Coturnix japonica: one gene and its partners. The protein of the gene in region 4 purifies or fractionates together with the protein of the main gene of each other region. This does not show direct contact. Links are inferred from orthologs where the notes say so. Each region holds a gene or a part of one and is shown on either strand. Other genes may lie near its edges.

Region 1 (4,793 bases), on a different chromosome or scaffold from region 4:
TTTTCACGTGCATGCTCTGAACAATCACTTGTGACAGAACACACAGCACATAACTAGCAAAATCTGAAGTTAAACAGAATTCATAACGTATCTTGAATTGTACAAAGATCTCACTAACCTGTTTCATCTCTCGTTTCCAGACCCTTGGCTTTCAGCCTTGAGTAGATAAATTCTTCTTTTTCCTAAAAGATGGTTTTTCCACATTAGAATTTGAGGCATTCGGTCCTTGAAGTAAACCACTGTTTTTAAATCATGTAACAGCTCAGTGCCTAATACCCTCTGAAATAACAAACAACACTCATTAATATTGGAAACATCAACAAAACATTTACCCAAGCACAGTGACTTAGTGTTAAACCGATAAAGCTCTGTTGCTTAGATCCAGAAGATGGCCATGAGGACAACCAAAGGGCTGGAGCACCTCTCCTATGAAGGAAGACTACAGGAGTTGGGTTTGTTTAGGCTGAGAAGAGAAGGCTCCAGGAAGACCTCACCACAGCCTTCCAGTACTTGAAAGGAGCTTGTAATTGGGAAGGAGACAGACTTTTCTTTGCATAATTTGATAGTGATAAGACAAGGAGGAACAGCTTTAAACTGAAAGAGGGAAGATTTGGGTTAGATGTTAGAAAGAAATTCTCTGCTCAGACAGCAGTGAGGCCCAAACAAACAACAAACAAACAAACTAACAATGAAGACAACACATACCACATAACTGAGCATTTCTGCATTCAGATAAACACGTGGCCTTCAAATCTGTCATTATTTGGATGTGTACAGAACAATTACCTTTTCGTCGAGTTCTCAAACTCAGTTCTACAGAAGTCAGGGAGGATATGGTGATCAAAGCTCAGAAATAACAGTGAATTACTGAATCACTCCCACTCCTCCTAACCTATAGGGTCATAGAAGAGCTTCGGTTGGAAGGTCAGCGAGCTCCAACCCCACTGCTATGGGCTGACTGCCCCTCACCAGACCAGGCTGCCCAGGGCCCCATCCAACTCAGCCCTGAACACCTCCAGGGATGGGGCACCCAATAGTGATAGGACAAGCTACGAGGTTGTGTAAGAAGTCACTCCTACTCCTGTTTATAACCTCTCTTCAAGTACTGGGAGGCTGCAATGAGGTCTCCCCAGACCCTTCTCCTACCTAAACAAGCCCAATTCTTTCAGCTTTCCTTCATAGAAGTGCTCCAGACCTTAAGGTGCAATCGCAAAAGAAAGCACGTGTCCTTGCTTTCAGAATCACACACAGCATCACAGGCTTTCAGCCTTGATAAAAGGTTCAACTGCCAGTGCAGCAGGGCACATCAAAGAACCATCTGAGTTAGAATGGACCCCAAATGCCATTTTCTCCAACCACCCTACAACGAACAGAGACACAGCTCCATCAGGTGCTTCTACAGCAGAGCTTTCCTTGCTTTTTCCCTGCGGCAGCACCGCTTCCAGCAGCCAAACCCCCCCATTCCTCCCGGCCCGATGCCGCCCCCCAGCGGTTCCGGACTGACCGTCCTGAAGGCGGTGTTCTGCCGGGCCCAGAAGCGCTGGTTCCACTCCTGTGTCTCCTCCCGCAGCTCCCGCAGCCGCCGTTCCAGCGGGGTCTCGTGAGGCGACACGTAAAAGATGACGGGGCGGAGGTTAGAGCGCTTGTCTGGGGGCCCGATCCAGTCCCTGCGGGAGCCGGCGGGGGGACAGAACCGCGGCCTCTGTGTTACAAGCGGGACGATCGGCCGCTCCCCGCCGCCGGAGGACACAGTAGAGGAGAAGCATCCATAGCAGCATCCATAGCGGCATCCATAGCGGCAGCCGCCCGCCCTCACGGCCCGCACAACCCCTACAGCCGCCATCCCCGCCGCCGGCCGCGCTTTACGGCGATGTCGCAGCCGAGGGCGGCGCTGCGGGGCGGGGCCGGGCTCAGGGCTCCGAGCCCTTCGCTACCGCTCGGCCGTGGCGCAGCGCCGAGCCGGGCCGCCGTGCCTCAGCCCGGGGGCGGCTGCAGGGTGAGCCGGGAAGGAGGGGGGGAGTGCGGGGAACGCGTCGCTTTCGGCTCCGGAGCGGTGGGAAGGAGCGGCTGTGAGCGGGGAGGGGAGCGCCGTGCTGGGGGGTTCAACCCCGGCTGAAGGAGGGGCGGCTGCGTGCCCGCTGATAGGGGTCGGTGAGACCGTAATATAAAGTTGTAAACACGGGTAACCGATGTGTTCGCTTCGCTCTGCATCGCAGTTCGACTGAAGGTGGATGAGAGCAGAGCATGGATATGGGGAACCAACACCCTGCCATCAAACGGTTGCACGAGATACAGAAGGAAGTGAGAGAGATCGAACAGCAAGTGGCAGTCTTCAGCGGGTTGTCCACGGACCGGGACTACAAGAAGCTGGAGAGATCCCTCACCAAACAGCTGTTTGAGATCGACTCTGTGGACACTGAGGGCAAAGGGGACATCCAGCAGGCCAGGAAACGCGCTGCCCAGGAGACCGAGCGGCTGCTGAAGGAGCTGGAGCAGAACGCCAACCACCCGCGCAGGCTGGAGATCGAGGCCATCTTCAAGGAGGCACAGGCGCTGGTGGAGCGTGAGATCACGCCTTTCTACCAAGGAGGCAACAGCATCAACGAGGAGTTTGAAGAAGGCATCCAGGACATCGTGCTGCGGCTCACCCAGGTGAAGACCGGAGGGAAGGTTTCCTTGCGCAAAGCGAGATATCGCACCCTGACTAAAGTGTGCGCCGTGCAGGAGATCATAGAGAGCTGCGCCAAGAGACAGCTCTCCCTGCCACTCTCTAATGATGCGCATCCTTCTGTCTCCAAAATTAACTCTGTAATGTGTGAGGTGAACAAAGCCAGAGGAACCCTTATTGCGCTTCTGATGGGAGTGAGTAGTAATGATACCTGCAGGCATTTAGCCTGCGTCCTCACAGGCCTCGTCGCTGATTTGGATGCTTTGGATGTCTGCGGTCGCATGGAAATAAGGAATTACAGAAAGGAAGTAGTGGAAGAGATCAATAAATTGCAGAAATACCTGGACTTGGATGAAGAAGCAAATACTACTCATGCTTATGATCTGGCCCAAAATCAGTCCATTCTAAAAATAGAAGAAATACGCAAGAAAATGAAGGAAGTTAATTCTTTGCTTTTAAAAACAGAGAATGCTTCTGATTTGTATTTGGGATCCAAAGCAGAACTGCAGGGATTAATTGCCCAGTTAGATGAAGTGAGTCCGGGAAAAAACCCTTGTATTAGAGAAGCCAGGAGAAGAGCAGTGATAGAAGTACAGACTCTCATAACATACATTGATTTAAAGGAAGCACTTGGAAAAAGGCAAATGTACGCAGAGCAGACTGCTGCAGAACATCAGTCTCATCAAGCAGTTTGGACTGTGCTTGGAAACTTGTCTCAGATTCAGCAGGAGGTGATTTCTTTTGATGGAAATAGAACAGATAAGAACTACATGCGATTGGAAGAACTCCTTACAAAGCAACTTCTTGCACTTGATGCCGTCGACCCACAAGGTGACGAGCGATGTAAGGCTGCCAGAAAGCAAGCAGTAAAGCTTGCACAGAATATCCTTTACTACCTGGACATGAAAACAGATGAATGGGAGTACTGAAGGAAACGTGGCCTGACATAAAATACCATTTTTTTTCCTGCGGCACTTCATGTAGGATGATAGCTACACTGGCAGCACATAGTGAAAGTAGTGTTCTATGCTTGCTTAAATCACGGAGGTTGCATACAAAGTTACCTTGGCTATATGTGTGCTATCCCACGCAGTCACCCACTTGCCATGGCAACTGTCAGTACACCATCAGCAATTCTGGTCACTGCTATAAGCAATGGAATGAGATTCTCTGAAGGAGCAGCTTAAGTGTTGATTGAACGGCTTCTTTTTCTTAATCTGTCTGTGTTTTAATAACCTGGTGTAACATTCAGAGAACGCAAATGTTTCAAAGATGCCGAAAATTCCTTGTGGTGCAGTACTGCAGAGCTGTTTCAAGAAAGCTGGGCGTGAAAATTAGTGTTTAAGCACAAGGCTCCATCCAGCAGCATCGTAGCAGTCTGGATATACTCTTAATGTGCTGCTTTGATGAAAAGTATTAAATGCAAACAAAAAAAAACCAACTTGCTGGCTTTTGGGTTGTGCTTGTTTTATTCCATCCATCACACCTTCTGCTTGCTTAGATCTCTTTAGATTTCCTGCTCGGCAGAAGTACAATGCCAGCTTCAAATTCACATAGGCGAAGCCACTTTTGTATGGCACCTGTGAACTGTCATTTGCAAGAACAGCTTTTCTGCTGGTGGAAACTCTCAAATATTCTTTGCTTTAAGAAGCTGGGACTCAAAGAGGACAATCTGTAGATATTTACTGGCCAGATGAATTGGGTTTTGAGGATTTCACACTGCCATCCATTAGAACCTGAAAACTGCAATGAACTTTTTTTAATGCTACTTAGGGGTCTTTTTAAATTCTGCTGTTCTATCTGGTTTTGACTCGCCTTCCCCTGTTTGATTAGAGCAGAAGTCACTTTGAAGCGGATGAGGATTTTGGATTTATTTTTGTAGTGTTAGGTAGTATAAAGGCATCCCTAATGATGTACGTTTGTGTGATACACGTAGATCTTTCATACTGGTCAGGTGTGGCTTTAGGCATGTCTTGGAAGAGGCTTTTGGCATACGTCTCTCTTTGTAACTCCCTGCTTAATTATAAATGAGCTTTGTAAATCAGCTCGATTGTACTACTTTATGCACTACCTTTTCGTTTGTTGCTGCTAGCACCCATCACATTTCTACTATAGCATGGTTTTG
Region 2 (4,614 bases), on a different chromosome or scaffold from region 4:
GTGTTTTCCCCAAATTACCCCATCAGCGGGAAAGAATTTCCCCCAAATGTGAGACTGGGAGCAGCTTAGTTCTCACAGGGCAGGCAGGGCAGGCCCAGCAGGTAGACAGGCATCTTCTGACCTCAACCCAGCAGCCCAACACCTCCATGCAATGGCAAGCCTAGCCAGGGGCTTTGCAGAAAGAGCAGCAATTACCCACACTTATTTTCTCTGGCTGAGTTTTAACATGCCCAAGTAGGGAGTTCAGTTTCTAAGCCAGAACATGTGACGCCAGCTCCGCTCTTCCAGGCTGCTGTGGATACTCCTTACGACTTCCCTCCAGTCCCCAGATGTTTAGTCCAGTGGGTGCTTTGCAGGAAAAGGTTCTGAAAAGAGCCTTCATCAGCCCCATGGAACACACAGCCCCAAGGCAGGACTGGTGGCACAAGGCCAGCACATGTCCCTTAGTTACCACCAGCACTCACTGCTGACCTCCACCAGGCTGGAAACACTCTCTCAGCAGGCTGCACTGCATTCACGTGCTGGAGCCCACAGTCAGTGGGTCATGCAGGGCTCTGCCTTCCCCCTCTACAATCACAGAGGTCCCTGGCCCCTCACACTGCAGCTGCTATGAGAACAACCATGAGACAAAGAAAGCTGGCATCGGATTTTTATTTCTTTGTACTCTTTAAACAGGAGTGACTGAAATAGAAACCATGTTTGAGTCCCAGCAGTGGGAATGATTTGATAAAGACGAGGCAGGAGGTTGTCCCTGCCCCATGCCAACCTGTATAAATATCATCCGTTACTGTTAGTAACTAGACAGTTTTCATACAAGTCCATGAATGGTCATAGATAACATATTACAACATGCCACTTCAGAACAAGAAATAACTTATGTGTACTTCTTAATTTCATCATACAGCACTAAGACGAAAGCACCACCCATTCCTCGGAGCACATTCGACCATGCACCTTTGAAAAACGCCTTGGAGCCCTCGTCCCGGGCAATCTTCCGCCAGCAGTCAAGAGTGCCACTGTACATTATGTCAGCTGTGGGAACAGACAGTGTTAGAAACCTGCTGCCTATGACCCCCAAAGTCCAAGTCAGAACCCACCTAACGTATCTGGCAGTTGTACAACCTCATGTATCCATTTCTTGACTTACTTTTAGACGATGAGATCGCCCAGGCTTGTGTTACCCCCAGGAGACACTGGAAGGACCAGTCTGAGCAGAAGGCAGCTACTGTTTCCTAGACACCAAAACTTCCAGTCCCAAAAGCTACTGCAGTCAGCCAGGCCGTGCCTGCACTGAAGGACAACCCTTCTTAGCCCAGAGACATGAGTTTCAACATCCTCAGGCAAGCTCTGCCATTCCTTCTTACTGAACAAACCCAACCTGCATGTTCCCCTTACAGGGATGCCACAAAGCCAATCTATTTGCCCCCACCTGACAGCTGCTTCTGCAGTCCCCTCATATCCTGCAGTTTACAAGAGGAGAAGGAATTTAAAGGCCTTGGTGAAGGGCAGCACACACTCCTGCCCCCAGCACAGACCCACTGCCAGCTGTTGATTCAGGGATGCCCACCAGCCCCTAACACAAGGAGGGAGGGAGCGACTTACTTCCTTTACGGCCGGACTGCATCATCATGCGGCGCCGAACTGTATCGAAGGGATAGGAGACCAAACCGGCCACCGCGGTGACCGACTGAGCGATCATCCAGCTGACCACGATGTGGGTGTTCTTTGGGTCGGGGAGCATTCCTGCGGGAGAGAGGCTCTGTGTGACATCAGCAGGCGAACCGGCATCACGCACAGTGCAGGGCTAAGGGCCCACAGCTCCACGGGAGCGCCGTGCCACCCCACCTACCCTTCGCGGTATCGTAGATGCCGAAGTAGGCGGCTCTGTAGATGATGATGCCCTGGACGGACACGTTGAAGCCCTGGTACAGGCCCTTGAGGCCATCCGAGCGGAAGATCTTCACCAGGCAGTCACCGAGGCCGCTGAACTCGCGGTCGGCCCCGGCTTTACCCACGTCGGCGGCCAGGCGGGTCCGGGCGAAGTCAAGGGGGTACACGAAGCAGAGCGAGGTAGCGCCGGCAGCGCCGCCGGACGCCAGGTTCCCCGCGAAGTATCGCCAGAACTGGGTGCGCTTGTCCACGCCGCCCAGGAAGATCTGCTTGTACTTGTCCTTGAAGGCGAAGTTGAGCGCTTGGGTGGGGAAGTACCGGATCACGTTGGCCAGGTTACCCCGCCAGAAGGACAGGACGCCCTGCTCGCGCGGGATGCGCACCACGCAGTCGATGATGCCCTTGTACTGCTTGTCGGCGGAGATCTGCTTGCTGGCGTGCTGCACCTGCGGGGGACACAGCACCAGCAGCACTATCAGCACCAGCAGCACCAGCAGCGCCGTCAGAGCGCCCGCCCGCCGCCCCGCAGCCCCCCTCTCCTTGACGACCTTGGAACGCCCGCCGCCCCCGTCCCGCCGCTCACCTGCAGCAGCAGCTTCACCCGCTCGATGGGGGCGACGGCGGTCTTGGAGATGGCGGCCGCCACCCCCCCGGCGAGGAAATCCTTGAGGAAGGACACGACCGCGTCGGCCATGGCGGGAGGCGGCGAGGAGAGGCCGGGCGGAACGCGACGGGGGAGGCGGCGCTGCGGCAGCGAGGCGGGAGCGGGGCCGAAATGGCCGCGTTATATACGGGCGGCGGAACACACGTGGGCGGGGGCGCGCCACGGCAACGCGCCGCCGCGTTCCACACGCCCATTGGCTGCGGGAGGGGGCGGGGCCGCCGCAGGGGGCGGGGCTTAGGACCACCGGGTGGCGCGGAGCGACGGGAACCGGCGGGAGACACCGGAGGGATGGAGCTGAGTGCGGGGCATGACTGCACACACAGCCGGGATAGAGCCCTGTGCGGGACATGACTGCACACACAGCCCGCATAGAGCCCTGTGCGGGGTATGAGTGCACACACAGCCGGGATAGAGCCCTGTGCGGGGCATGAGTGCACACACAGCCGGGATAGAGCCCTGTGCGGGGCATGACTGCACACACAGCCGGGATAGAGCCCTGTGCGGGGCATGACTGCACACACAGCCCGCATGGAGCCCTGTGCGTGGCTCCATTAACAGCCGCGTCTCCCACGTGCCTTAATATCTCTTCCAGGACCTGCTCCGTGATCTCAGACTCAGCAGCCTGCAGCTCCCAGCTCTCCCTTCTAAGCAGATGCAATCACACAGCTGAGAGGCTTGGCTGATACAAAGTTAATGAATGGTTTATAGGCCTCAGGAGTAAACTGTAATACAGAGGGGACAGTGGCATCCCACAAACAAGTGAGAGGTACCTTTTTGACTCGCTTGAGTCTCATGAAGTTTCAAGAGGCGAGTTAACATTTATATGCACCCATCATCCCATCTTTAACATCTATTTAGAAATACAACGTCAGTAAAAACAAACACAAAAAGTCCATGTAAAAGCACGGCTCAGAAACCAGTTCTTCCCAACTCGCTCACAAGTCGTATTTCCTTATTTACACACATCAAATAAATGTCAATATTGTTAATGACGCTTTACAAAGATAGGGAAACCGAGGCAAAGAGAAACATGTTCACTAGGCAGGTTGATGAGAGCCAGAAATACTCACACAGCCTCCACGTGACTCAGAAGCCACAAGAACTGCTCCCTGTCACCCTGAGTTCTGCTATCAATATCTGTGCTTCTCTGTCAGAAGAAAACCAGCCACTGTAGCAGTGCACAGCAAGCCCATTACTGGAGATACAAGAGCTCAGCTGTAGGGTACATCAGTGTTAAGAGTGCAAAGCAGGTCTTACAATTATCTCAGGTAATGGTATTATGTTTCCTGAAAGGGCCCTGGCCTGGTGAGAGGCCTATTTAACTGCAGTGGCACCAGTGAGAACCTGGAGGTTGTGCTAAGTTCCCAACCTAAGGAAGGGCTGTGGGTCCCAGAGTGCAGAAGTTCAAGAGGGAAAGTGAGAGGATGTGTACACGGTGCTCTTCTGCAGGCAAGGTCTGAGCAGCACAAGGGTCTGAGAAGCAGTTTAGCATAAAAATAGAACTTTAAGAATAGTGGAAAACATCGTAAGGCTCGTGGCTCTGAAATAACTCAGGTACACAGGAGAAAGGGACAAAGATTCCCAGCAAGCACCGAAGTTTACAAGATTGTCATTCCAGTGTATTACGGTCTAAAACACAACAGCAGCAGCACATTTTCATTGCTGTGCCAAAGATGTGAACAAAATGAATAAGTCTCAAAAACAGAAGAGTGGATTCTGGAGTGTGAATGAACAGAGGCTAACGCTGCACCTGCAGAATGCCACATCCACACACCATCACTGAAGAGGAGATTCCAGTTGGAACGCTTGCACGTTGTCTATCCAGTCTGCTTACCATTTTCTGATGACTTCTTAGCACAAGTTACTTTAAAAAGAAATCCAATCTGAGCTTTCTTCATGTTCTGAAGATACCATTTGTACCTGTCTCAGTTTTCATTCCCTCTGCGAGTGGTTTATCTTAAAGTGGTTATCCAGCACCGAGAAGCAGCTAGCATAGCATCAGTTCAAGCTGCAATAGCATACAGTGTGTGGAGCAGTTGCATCTCTCCTCCTCCTTGGTG
Region 3 (4,873 bases), on a different chromosome or scaffold from region 4:
AACCTCTGGCAAGCTTCTTCCTGTAGGCAGACTGAATTCGATGCACTTCCTTGGCAGTGCAAAAACAACCCATATTCTCTTTGTCAGCCAGGCTGATGCTTTCCCCACTGTCAAGAGATGTGGGATTTTGAGATTGCAGTTGTGCATGGGGAAAGGCACGGAGCAGAGAAACACAAAACACTCGCTGAGCCTCTCTGGGCGTTGGAATCACATTGTGCAGGCAGTATCTCTGTGTAGCAGGGTCTGAGCTCTGCTCCCTGCCACGCACAGAAAGGTAGAGGTGTGAGCCATGGCAGGGGTCCTGCCTGGACACCATGTCAGATCAAACCTCACAGGTCAGTGCTGCTTTTGAAGCTCCTCTTTGGTCACGACAGTATTAAATTTATTTTGTGTGTGGCAGGAGAAAAAAAAGCATGTCTGAGAGCACAGGAAACCTTGACAACCTGGCACTTGCTGAATATGAATTCTGTTCCTCTGCTTTTTTTTAATCCCCTCTCTTAAAAGCTGCCAGAGGAAACAGGTCCTTTGCTCTGTGCAGGTTACAAAGAGCAGTTGTTGTTATGCAGCAGAACCAAAAATAAAAGTGGGTGATTCTGCAGTCCTATGGAAACTCAGATTAAAGCAGGGCAGTGTTAACCTGTTCCTTGCCAGGGGACAGCACTGTCCAGCCAACCCATCTAGGGGATGGCAAGTTATGATAAACAGCACAATTGTTCCCCTCTACCCACAATGAGTTCAGCTCAGCTTTAGTCCCACTGTGTACAGCCAAGTGAAACCCACTGATGCCTTTGCAAATCATGCTGGTGGAGTGGGGACCCAAAGAAGTGCCTACAGTGGCAGATGCCTGGATCTTCTCTGCCTGGCTCTGCAACCTCTTGTGGGGGACACATTGTGCTTCCAGAGCTGAAAGGTTTGAGGAGACCTGGGGAGAGGCAAGAGGGGAAAGAAGAACAAGGAGGGTTGTACCTGAGTTTTCCAGGAAGGCAGAAAATCTTTTTCTGCAGTGGCTGGCCTTGCTTCCTGAAGGAAACAGTCCATGTCCTTCCATCAGATGAGTCCCCTCTAGTTGCACTGTGAGTGGGTGAGTGGCTGTGTCCCCTTGCCCCAGCATGTCCACACATGGGGATGTTGGTCCTGGGACGATGCTCAGACAAATAAACCCCACAGTGCACGGAGTCTCCTTCCAGAATAGCTGCTGAACAATCAGGAACCAGCATTCTGGAGACAGCTTTGTCTCCATGTTCTGAATTTCCAGGTTGAAAGCAGTCCATCTCATTAGCACTAGCATCTCATATTTTACTGACCTCTGGTTGGCATCTTCTTCTCACTTTAGGTAACAGGTCTGATTGTGATAACAAGCTTCTCTCATTTTCAGGCACGTGCACACCTCAGACATGTCTGGGCATTTGATCACAACTCCATTTCATTGCCATTTCTGTATACACGGTGTGCTTGTTAGCCTTGTGCTCTATTATCCTTTCCTCAGCAGTGTGATGTCAATGACCATCATCCCAAGAGCTCACCAGGGAGCTGGGAGCTGGCTGATGGGAGGGCTGGCTTGGTGAAGACCCATTATCAGGGTGAGGACCACCAGGAGACTTTGCACATCTCTCTCGTGTTACAGAGCATGAGTTCAGCCTGTGCCCTGGAAGCAAGGACCTGATGTCACGGGCTCGCACAGCACCTCCATGCACAGCTTTCTGTGCTCAGGTTGGTCGTTACTGCCGTTTTTTTGTTAAACCCTGCATGGAATTTAATGAAGAAGGAGGAGGGGATGGCAGCCGTGTTTGGCCGCAGATCTGAGCCCCCGGAGCTCCTCTCCCCTGGGCCTCGCAGTGCAGGCCCCGGCCCTGCTCCTCGTTGTCGTGGCGACGCGGTGGCGGCTGCGGGCGGGGAGGGCCCAACGGTGACGGGCGGGGAGTCCGCCCCGCTCTTCCTGCGCTGAGCGCGGCCACAGAGGGCAGAGCTGAGCCGAGCCGCTCCGAGCAGCACCGAGCCGAGCCGGAGGGAGGGGAGCTCCGTACCCCGCTTCACACCGGCTTCGGGCCCCGGCGGGAGCCCGCCGCTGCCAGCCCGGTAAGTGCGAGCCCCCAGTTCGATGATCACCACCGCCCAGCCCGCAGGGTGTCCGCCGATCTCCTGCAGCGGGCCCATGGCTACGGATCGCCCCGCGCCTCCCCATCGCGGGGACACGTGTGCTGCGGGGCGGCCGCTGCTCTATGGAGCCGTTCCGTGCTGCTCTATGGGGCCGTTCCGTGCTGCTCTATGGGGCCGTTTCGTGCTGCTCTATGGGGCCGTTCCGTGCTGCTCTATGGAGCCGTTCCGTGCTGCTCTATGGAGCCGTTCCGTGCTGCTCTATGGAAGCCGTTCCGTGCTGCTCTATGGAGCCGTTCCGTGCTGCTCTATGGGGCCGTTCCGTGCTGCTCTATGGGGCCGTTCCGTGCTGCTCGCTGCGCCGTAGCTGGGACGGGCGGGTCGGCCTCCGTTCCACGCTGAGCTCCTTCCTAAGCCGGCTCTTGGAGGTAGGTCAAGGTTATTACCGCGGATGGGAGCGTGGAAGTGTGGATAGTTTCTGGGGTTTCCTCAAGGTCACCCCTGGAATGGGAGACCCCCAGCATCCTCTCATCCTCTGCACCCTGCGGATCTGCTCGGCTCGTGGGAATTGGATTTTCCAGTGCCCCAGGCCTCTCTGCTGCAGGGGGTTCGACATGTGTTTCCTGCGCCCTGCCACGCTGTCAGTCTGACAAGCATCAGAGCAGGATGCCAGCTCTACGTTTGGCCTAAAATCTCAGTTTCTTTGAACTCTCTGGCAAAGGCTGAGCTGCTTGCTGACACCTCTAGGCTGGCTTTGCCACGAGGATCTGACCTGTCACACTGTGACTGCCAGGGATGGAAGCTGCAGTGATTCTGATCCACTGCATGCTGTTGGTTTACGCCTCCTAAGTGCTCTTCTTGGCAGTGGCAAGCAAAAGGCAATCAAACCAGAATGGTGCTGGGCTGATAACAGCGCATCGTGTGGGGTTGGCTTGCAGTTGTTCTCTCGGTCGTAGGTTGTTTTGCTTTTCCTTTCTACAGTGACCTGAAAGAAGGTTGCAGAGAGGTGGGTCTTGGCCTTTTCTCTCAGGTAACAGTGATAGAATGAGAGGGAATGGCCCCAGGTTGCACCAGGTGAGGTTCAGGTTGGCTATTAGGAAACATCTCTGAAAGAGCAGCGATGCACTGACACAGGCTGACCATGAAGTCACCATCCCTGGAGGTGTTCAGGAAACATGGAGACTGTTGGGGGTGATGATGGGTTGGTGGTTGGACTAGATGATCCTAGCGGTCTTTTCCAACCTAATTGATTTTGTGATTCTTTGGTGCTGAGTCCCTGGGCTTGTTTATTTACAGCATGTTGGTCACAAGGAGATGTGCTGTGTTCTGAGGTCAGCACTCCGGGCAGGGATGGATGGCTGTGCTGGGACACAGAGCATGGTTGGATCATAACTTGGAGCACGACCCTGCTGTGAGGGAACATTCATGGCCTTGTTTGACACCTGGCAGCCTTGCTAATGCCTTAGTAAGAAGCCAGAGCCCTAGAAGATTGTCCCACTGCCACTTTAAGAAGGGATAGCGTGCAATATTGAGTTACACAGAGGTAGGAGTCACTGGCAGCTTGCTAGGGTCATTTGTTCTCCTTCTCCAGCCGCACTCAGGTTAGTGTATGAGATGGGGGAAATACCTACCTGACCTGGCATCCTTGGTTAGAGGACCAATTTTACAGATCCCTTAAGAAAAGCTTTTCCATGAGGGGTAAATCCTGATCAGAGTGCATGATGACTGTATAGTGCTGGGAAAGCAGTTTATTGTATCCTGATGTGCTGGAGTGACTGATGAACTGCTCCTGTGTCTCAGTAAGGAGTGTCAAGGTATGGTGGAGTGCTGCTTTCTCTCCTCTTTGGGTCCCTCCTTTCACCGATGCAGTGTGTGGTGTACTGGGAGAGTCATCCCGACACTGAGGGCTCTGAGAAGCCTGTGCTGAAGTGAGGCAGTGCACCCAGGTTACCAGCAGCTCCTCTTGGCCATGCTGCAGCTACTCAGCCCTGGAAGCAGAGATATGATTAATGGCCGTCTTCAAATTAAGTGCTCGACTGCTTCAGGGCTGGGTTCTAAGTGCTGCAAGTAGTACGGGCAGATCTCCCACGTGCATATCATGTATACAGGGCTCAAATTCCTCAGTGCTCTATTTCGTCACTGAGATGCGTAGCCTTCCTGCTCTTACAGCACACATGAGAGCAGTCTGCAGCCCATGCTCTCGGCCACGACCCCTTTGGCAAGGCCGTTTTGGTGAAGCCATTGTGCTGCTGTCTTTGTTTTCCTTCTTTTGCCAGGTAGGCTTATTTGCAGTGCCCAAGTTCATCCACAGCTTTGCCTTGTTTCCTGCTCTGTCTTGGAGGAATCACATGAGAAGGGACAGGAGGAGAAGAATATAGGTCCTTGTCTCTGCACTGCCTGGTTCTTTACTCATACCTGTGGATGTGCTGCTTGCACACTTTGGCAGAGCAGATGGAGCAGCTCCATGCTGCCTGATAGGCAGGGTGGAGTGGAAACAACTTGTCCTAAGCCACATGCAAACTGAGAGCTGGTTTGGTGCCATATTCAGCGCTCCTTGAATTATGGCAGGTAGAGATTTATGCAGTAAAAAGAGGGAAGTGTGTTTAGAGATATTTCAGCGCTAACCGTGAATTTGGGTTCTGCTTTCTCCCTTGCCACAGACTCAGGCTTAGAGCGTGACTGCGGATAAGTAGAACAAAGTTTGTCTCTGACCCTGCAGTCTACCAGAAAACAGCACTTACACGATCCTGCCACAGTTGCAGAAGATACAATGTGACTT
Region 4 (3,670 bases):
GCCAGAAAAGGTGACGAGGAGGTGTTTGTGCAGTTCTCTACGTGGCAGACTGAGAGCAAAGTGCCACCTTTTGCTGCTCACTTGCTGAGACCTTCTGTGCTTGTTTGGCCCCAGAGTTGTTTGGCTGTTACAAAGCATTCCCGCTGCCCTGCAAGCATAACAGTTCAGATTAGAAGGAGTGATGGGATATAAACTGGACAGGGTGTCATATCAGCCTGTCCTACCTGTTTACAGTATGATGAACCTGGGCTGCTTGTAAATAAGGTAAAATGAACGTGTGGCAGAACCTGCTCCATGTAATTTGCCAGAGCAAGCAACCAATAAGGATGTGAAGTCAACAACCCTTTAAGTATTTGGCTCCCTCTGCGCAGTTTGCTGCCATAGGTGTAGAGCTGAACGTCCTTCAGCTGCGTGGCTCTGAGCAACACGGGCTAAATTAAATGTTGAGCTCAGGTGTTAACTTCCAGCTCAGGTGTTAACTTCCAGCCCAGCCGTGCAGCTTGTTTCCAATGGGCAGAGAGGCTTTTCTTGAAGTAGAAGATTATCTTCAGTTTTCAGATGCTGGATGTTATCCTGAGTAAGCAGGCAGCATCATATCCGACAGGGCTTGTGCTGTGCTGAGCGCATTGCAGCTGGGAGGGGAGGCCGGTCCCCCAGCTGAGCTGTGTTTGTGGCGACCTCCTGTCTTGGTTGGCTGCTGTTGGCTCTGTGAGCCCTGTAACACTCACCCCTTAGGCCAGGTTCAGTCTGTGCTGGGTTCTTTCTCAGTGATCTTCCGACGGATCAATAGTGAGGTGGCCAGCACTGCCTGCGGTCACCTCCTCCAGTGCACCAGGCTACCAGGCCCTCTCAGGACAATGCTTCTCCTCCCCAGGGCCACAAATACAAGAGTAGAAATAAGGGATCAAGTGCAACAAAAGCTCCTCCCTGGAAACAGAGCAATGAGCAAATGGACTGTCATTAACAAAGCACAGCTTTAATAAAAAGGTAGAAAGCTTACATCTCAAAATGACTCATAAATAAACGTAACTGCATTACATAGCATCTCTTTTTTAAATGTATTCATTATAATAATATATATTTTCTGAGTTACAAAATCCATATAAATAGCAAATTATCTTCTGGGTGCAGAATACAAGGACGCATAAAAAATGGGGGTACAGATCTGAAAGGAATCCTGAGTCCACACACCACGAGAGGCAGCAAATGGGACAGTGACACAGCTGGGCTCGGCAGCTGCTGCTGTCCACGTACAGAAGTTCTTCAAAACTGGGAGCCCACAGGGTGCTGCTGACCCTGCTGCTCCGGACAATAAACTCTGGAGTGGTTCTGTGTTCTCCGTGCAGGGATTTCAGGAGAACTCTATGGATTCTTTTGGTATCGCAACAAGAAAATGAGCTCTGTCTTCTGATGGATGGAATGGAGGCACACAAGGCAAGCTGCACCAAGATTCTGCAGCACGCTTCCTTCTTTGTGGTACGAGCGGTAGCAGCCTTTCCAGCAGGAGTTTCCTCTCTGTTCCTTCCCATGGCTTTTAGAAGTGAGCTGTGCAATAGATGTACGTGGATGGGAATGTTCTTGACTCCATGACTCCATTGCTCAGAACGAGGCAGGCTGCACAATTGCAAGAAGGCACCAAGGTGCAGGGCTGGTCAGCGTAATTCAATTTGGAATTCAGAGGAATTGTATTATTTTAGCACAGTTTGGTTTTCTGTTTGCAATGGAAGATGTCAACTTCTCATAGAAGAAGCAAAGGCTGTAATCTGCCCATTGCGCTGCTCCTCGTGAGAAGTCTGAATGCTCCTTAAGTTCAATTATTTGTATAAAATATAATGTTTTCCTTTGTTTGGCTGAGGTCAAGAGCTCGGACATGAATAAAACATGAATCATCAGAGAAAACTCATGCTTACAGACTGCAATAAGGAAACAGAGCCTTCAGCTTTGCTTCTTACTCCGGTGTCAACTCAGTAGAGATACTGAAGTAAATCAGAGCCGTTTTCAGTCTCCTGGCTGATTTCCAATTTAAGAGGGACTAAAAACTGGATGAACAAAGTTATCCTGAAGTCGAGCCGCAGCTCCTCCGTGCAGAACTTCATGAGTAAACAGACACGTGATAATGCTTCAGATTATGAAACTCTTAATGATTTTCTGTCCTTTCAAACATTATGAATAACACCCTTCTTTCTTCTCAGTACACAATGACTTGGGAAGATTTCTTTCCTGGTTTGGGTTAAGGAGCCCAGCAACAAGAGGCTGTGAATATTGCACGGTGAGTTAGGATACAAGTCTAGAAAAGAGAATGGCACTTGAAAGGGTTTTTCAGTCCAAAGTGAAGCTTTTCATTTTTTCAGCTAGTTCCTGTCTCACTTCTATATGTTTCTTCAGGTTTTGCACTTCGTGGGGGAGGTTAATGTCCCACACTGACACACAGGACTGTAATTCTGGGGGAAAAAAAAGACAGTGCAACAGAGCAAATTACTGTGTGAACAGAAGTGGTCTTGCTGAAGAAGGGCATCAGTGTGAGCATCAGTTGTAACTGTTCTTAGGAAAAAAGCAAAACAAATCAAAGATGGAGATTTTATCTTCCTATTCCAGTACTCGCTATCCTAATTGTCAGGAAGCTCTTCCTGATGTGTGACCTAAATTTCCCTCGCTGTAATAGAAACTGCTTAGCCTTTATCCTGCCCACAGGGAATAACATGTTGAAGTATTATTCCCTTCCTCTTTATTTACATATTTGAAGCCTGTTATCATATCTGTTGGATGCTTTCCTAATATTAAGTAATTTATCTTCAGCATTTTCCCAGAGGCCGCATTTCTCTCCTCTGGACTATTCCTAATAGTTCAGATCATTCAGCATTGTCCCAGATGGATGCACTCCTGCAGCAGAGGTCTTATCAGAGCTCAGCAGAGCACAGGAATTAATTCCCATGTCTTAGAGAAGCCACTTTTCTATTGGCATAAGAAAGGTTTTTGTCCCTTCTGCAGGAACATGACGCTGTTGACTCATGTTCCACGTGTGATCAAAATAAACCTTATTTTCAGCACCACTGCTTAAGCCGACCATTTCCTCCTGTTGGTACAGCTGATCCCTCCTAATTACGTTTGAGGTCTCACATCTGTCCTTACTGAACTGTATCCTATTCCTTCCAGACCATTTGTTCTATCTGTCAAGGTTGCAGTGAATTCCGGTCCTGTCCTCCACTGTGCTCGTGGCTCCTCTGAGCTAAGTGCTGTCTGCCAACATGAAAAGCAGACGCGTTATTCCTTCATCCACATCATTCACCATAACACTGAGTATTCCTGGAGGCCCCTCTCGAAACCCGTTTGACACGCTCCACAATTAGACATGGGCAGTTATTCTCCAAATAGAGTTTTCTAGAAAATTATGTGCCCTCCAAAGAGTAGCTTCATCCGATCAATTCAGGCAACTGAATTGTTTGTATGGAGCCCAGAAACATAACCAATGACAAAAACGAATAATAATTTTCAAAAGAGTAGATCAAATGTTGATCGCCAGCTCTCCAAACACACCTCAGAGGGTGGCCGAGCGTCATAGTTTCTGCTTCACTAATAATACAAATTAATAAAGCACAGTTCAGGTACCTTTGTGATATTTGTCATCTTCGGTGTCGCTCTTGTAGCAGTATCCCAGAACCACCACCACGTT

What was found. Proteins that work in one complex are often made in the same cells at the same time.
Region 1: the proteins of LRRK2 (region 4) and BAG5 purify together in Homo sapiens (co-immunoprecipitation; 3 studies listed by BioGRID and IntAct, with this or other methods). This does not show direct contact. The link is inferred for Coturnix japonica from reciprocal best matches to the Homo sapiens genes LRRK2 and BAG5.
Region 2: the proteins of LRRK2 (region 4) and SLC25A5 purify together in Homo sapiens (co-immunoprecipitation; 3 studies listed by IntAct, with this or other methods). This does not show direct contact. The link is inferred for Coturnix japonica from reciprocal best matches to the Homo sapiens genes LRRK2 and SLC25A5.
Region 3: the proteins of LRRK2 (region 4) and SLC25A22 purify together in Homo sapiens (co-immunoprecipitation; 3 studies listed by IntAct, with this or other methods). This does not show direct contact. The link is inferred for Coturnix japonica from reciprocal best matches to the Homo sapiens genes LRRK2 and SLC25A22.

What each region holds. Positions count from the first base shown.
Region 1 is NC_029520.1:45,843,917-45,848,709, reverse strand, and holds the start of BAG5 (BAG family molecular chaperone regulator 5), read left to right. Parts: upstream 1-1,861; 5' UTR 1,862-1,996; intron 1,997-2,216; 5' UTR 2,217-2,244; coding exon 2,245-3,597; 3' UTR 3,598-4,793. Other genes in the region: cytochrome c oxidase assembly factor 8, read right to left, coding at 119-182, 1,505-1,843. UniProt on the Homo sapiens protein: Co-chaperone for HSP/HSP70 proteins. It functions as a nucleotide-exchange factor promoting the release of ADP from HSP70, thereby activating HSP70-mediated protein refolding.
Region 2 is NC_029519.1:15,436,679-15,441,292, forward strand, and holds SLC25A5 (ADP/ATP translocase 2), read right to left. Parts: upstream 2,683-4,614; 5' UTR 2,585-2,682; coding exon 2,474-2,584; intron 2,337-2,473; coding exon 1,850-2,336; intron 1,744-1,849; coding exon 1,603-1,743; intron 1,033-1,602; coding exon 875-1,032; 3' UTR 633-874; downstream 1-632.
Region 3 is NC_029520.1:8,824,230-8,829,102, reverse strand, and holds the start of SLC25A22 (mitochondrial glutamate carrier 1), read left to right. Parts: upstream 1-1,941; 5' UTR 1,942-2,076; intron 2,077-4,873. UniProt on the Homo sapiens protein: Mitochondrial glutamate/H(+) symporter. Responsible for the transport of glutamate from the cytosol into the mitochondrial matrix with the concomitant import of a proton. Plays a role in the control of glucose-stimulated insulin secretion.
Region 4 is NC_029516.1:13,454,446-13,458,115, forward strand, and holds the end of LRRK2 (leucine-rich repeat serine/threonine-protein kinase 2), read right to left. Parts: coding exon 3,607-3,670; intron 2,442-3,606; coding exon 2,320-2,441; 3' UTR 953-2,319; downstream 1-952. UniProt on the Homo sapiens protein: Serine/threonine-protein kinase which phosphorylates a broad range of proteins involved in multiple processes such as neuronal plasticity, innate immunity, autophagy, and vesicle trafficking.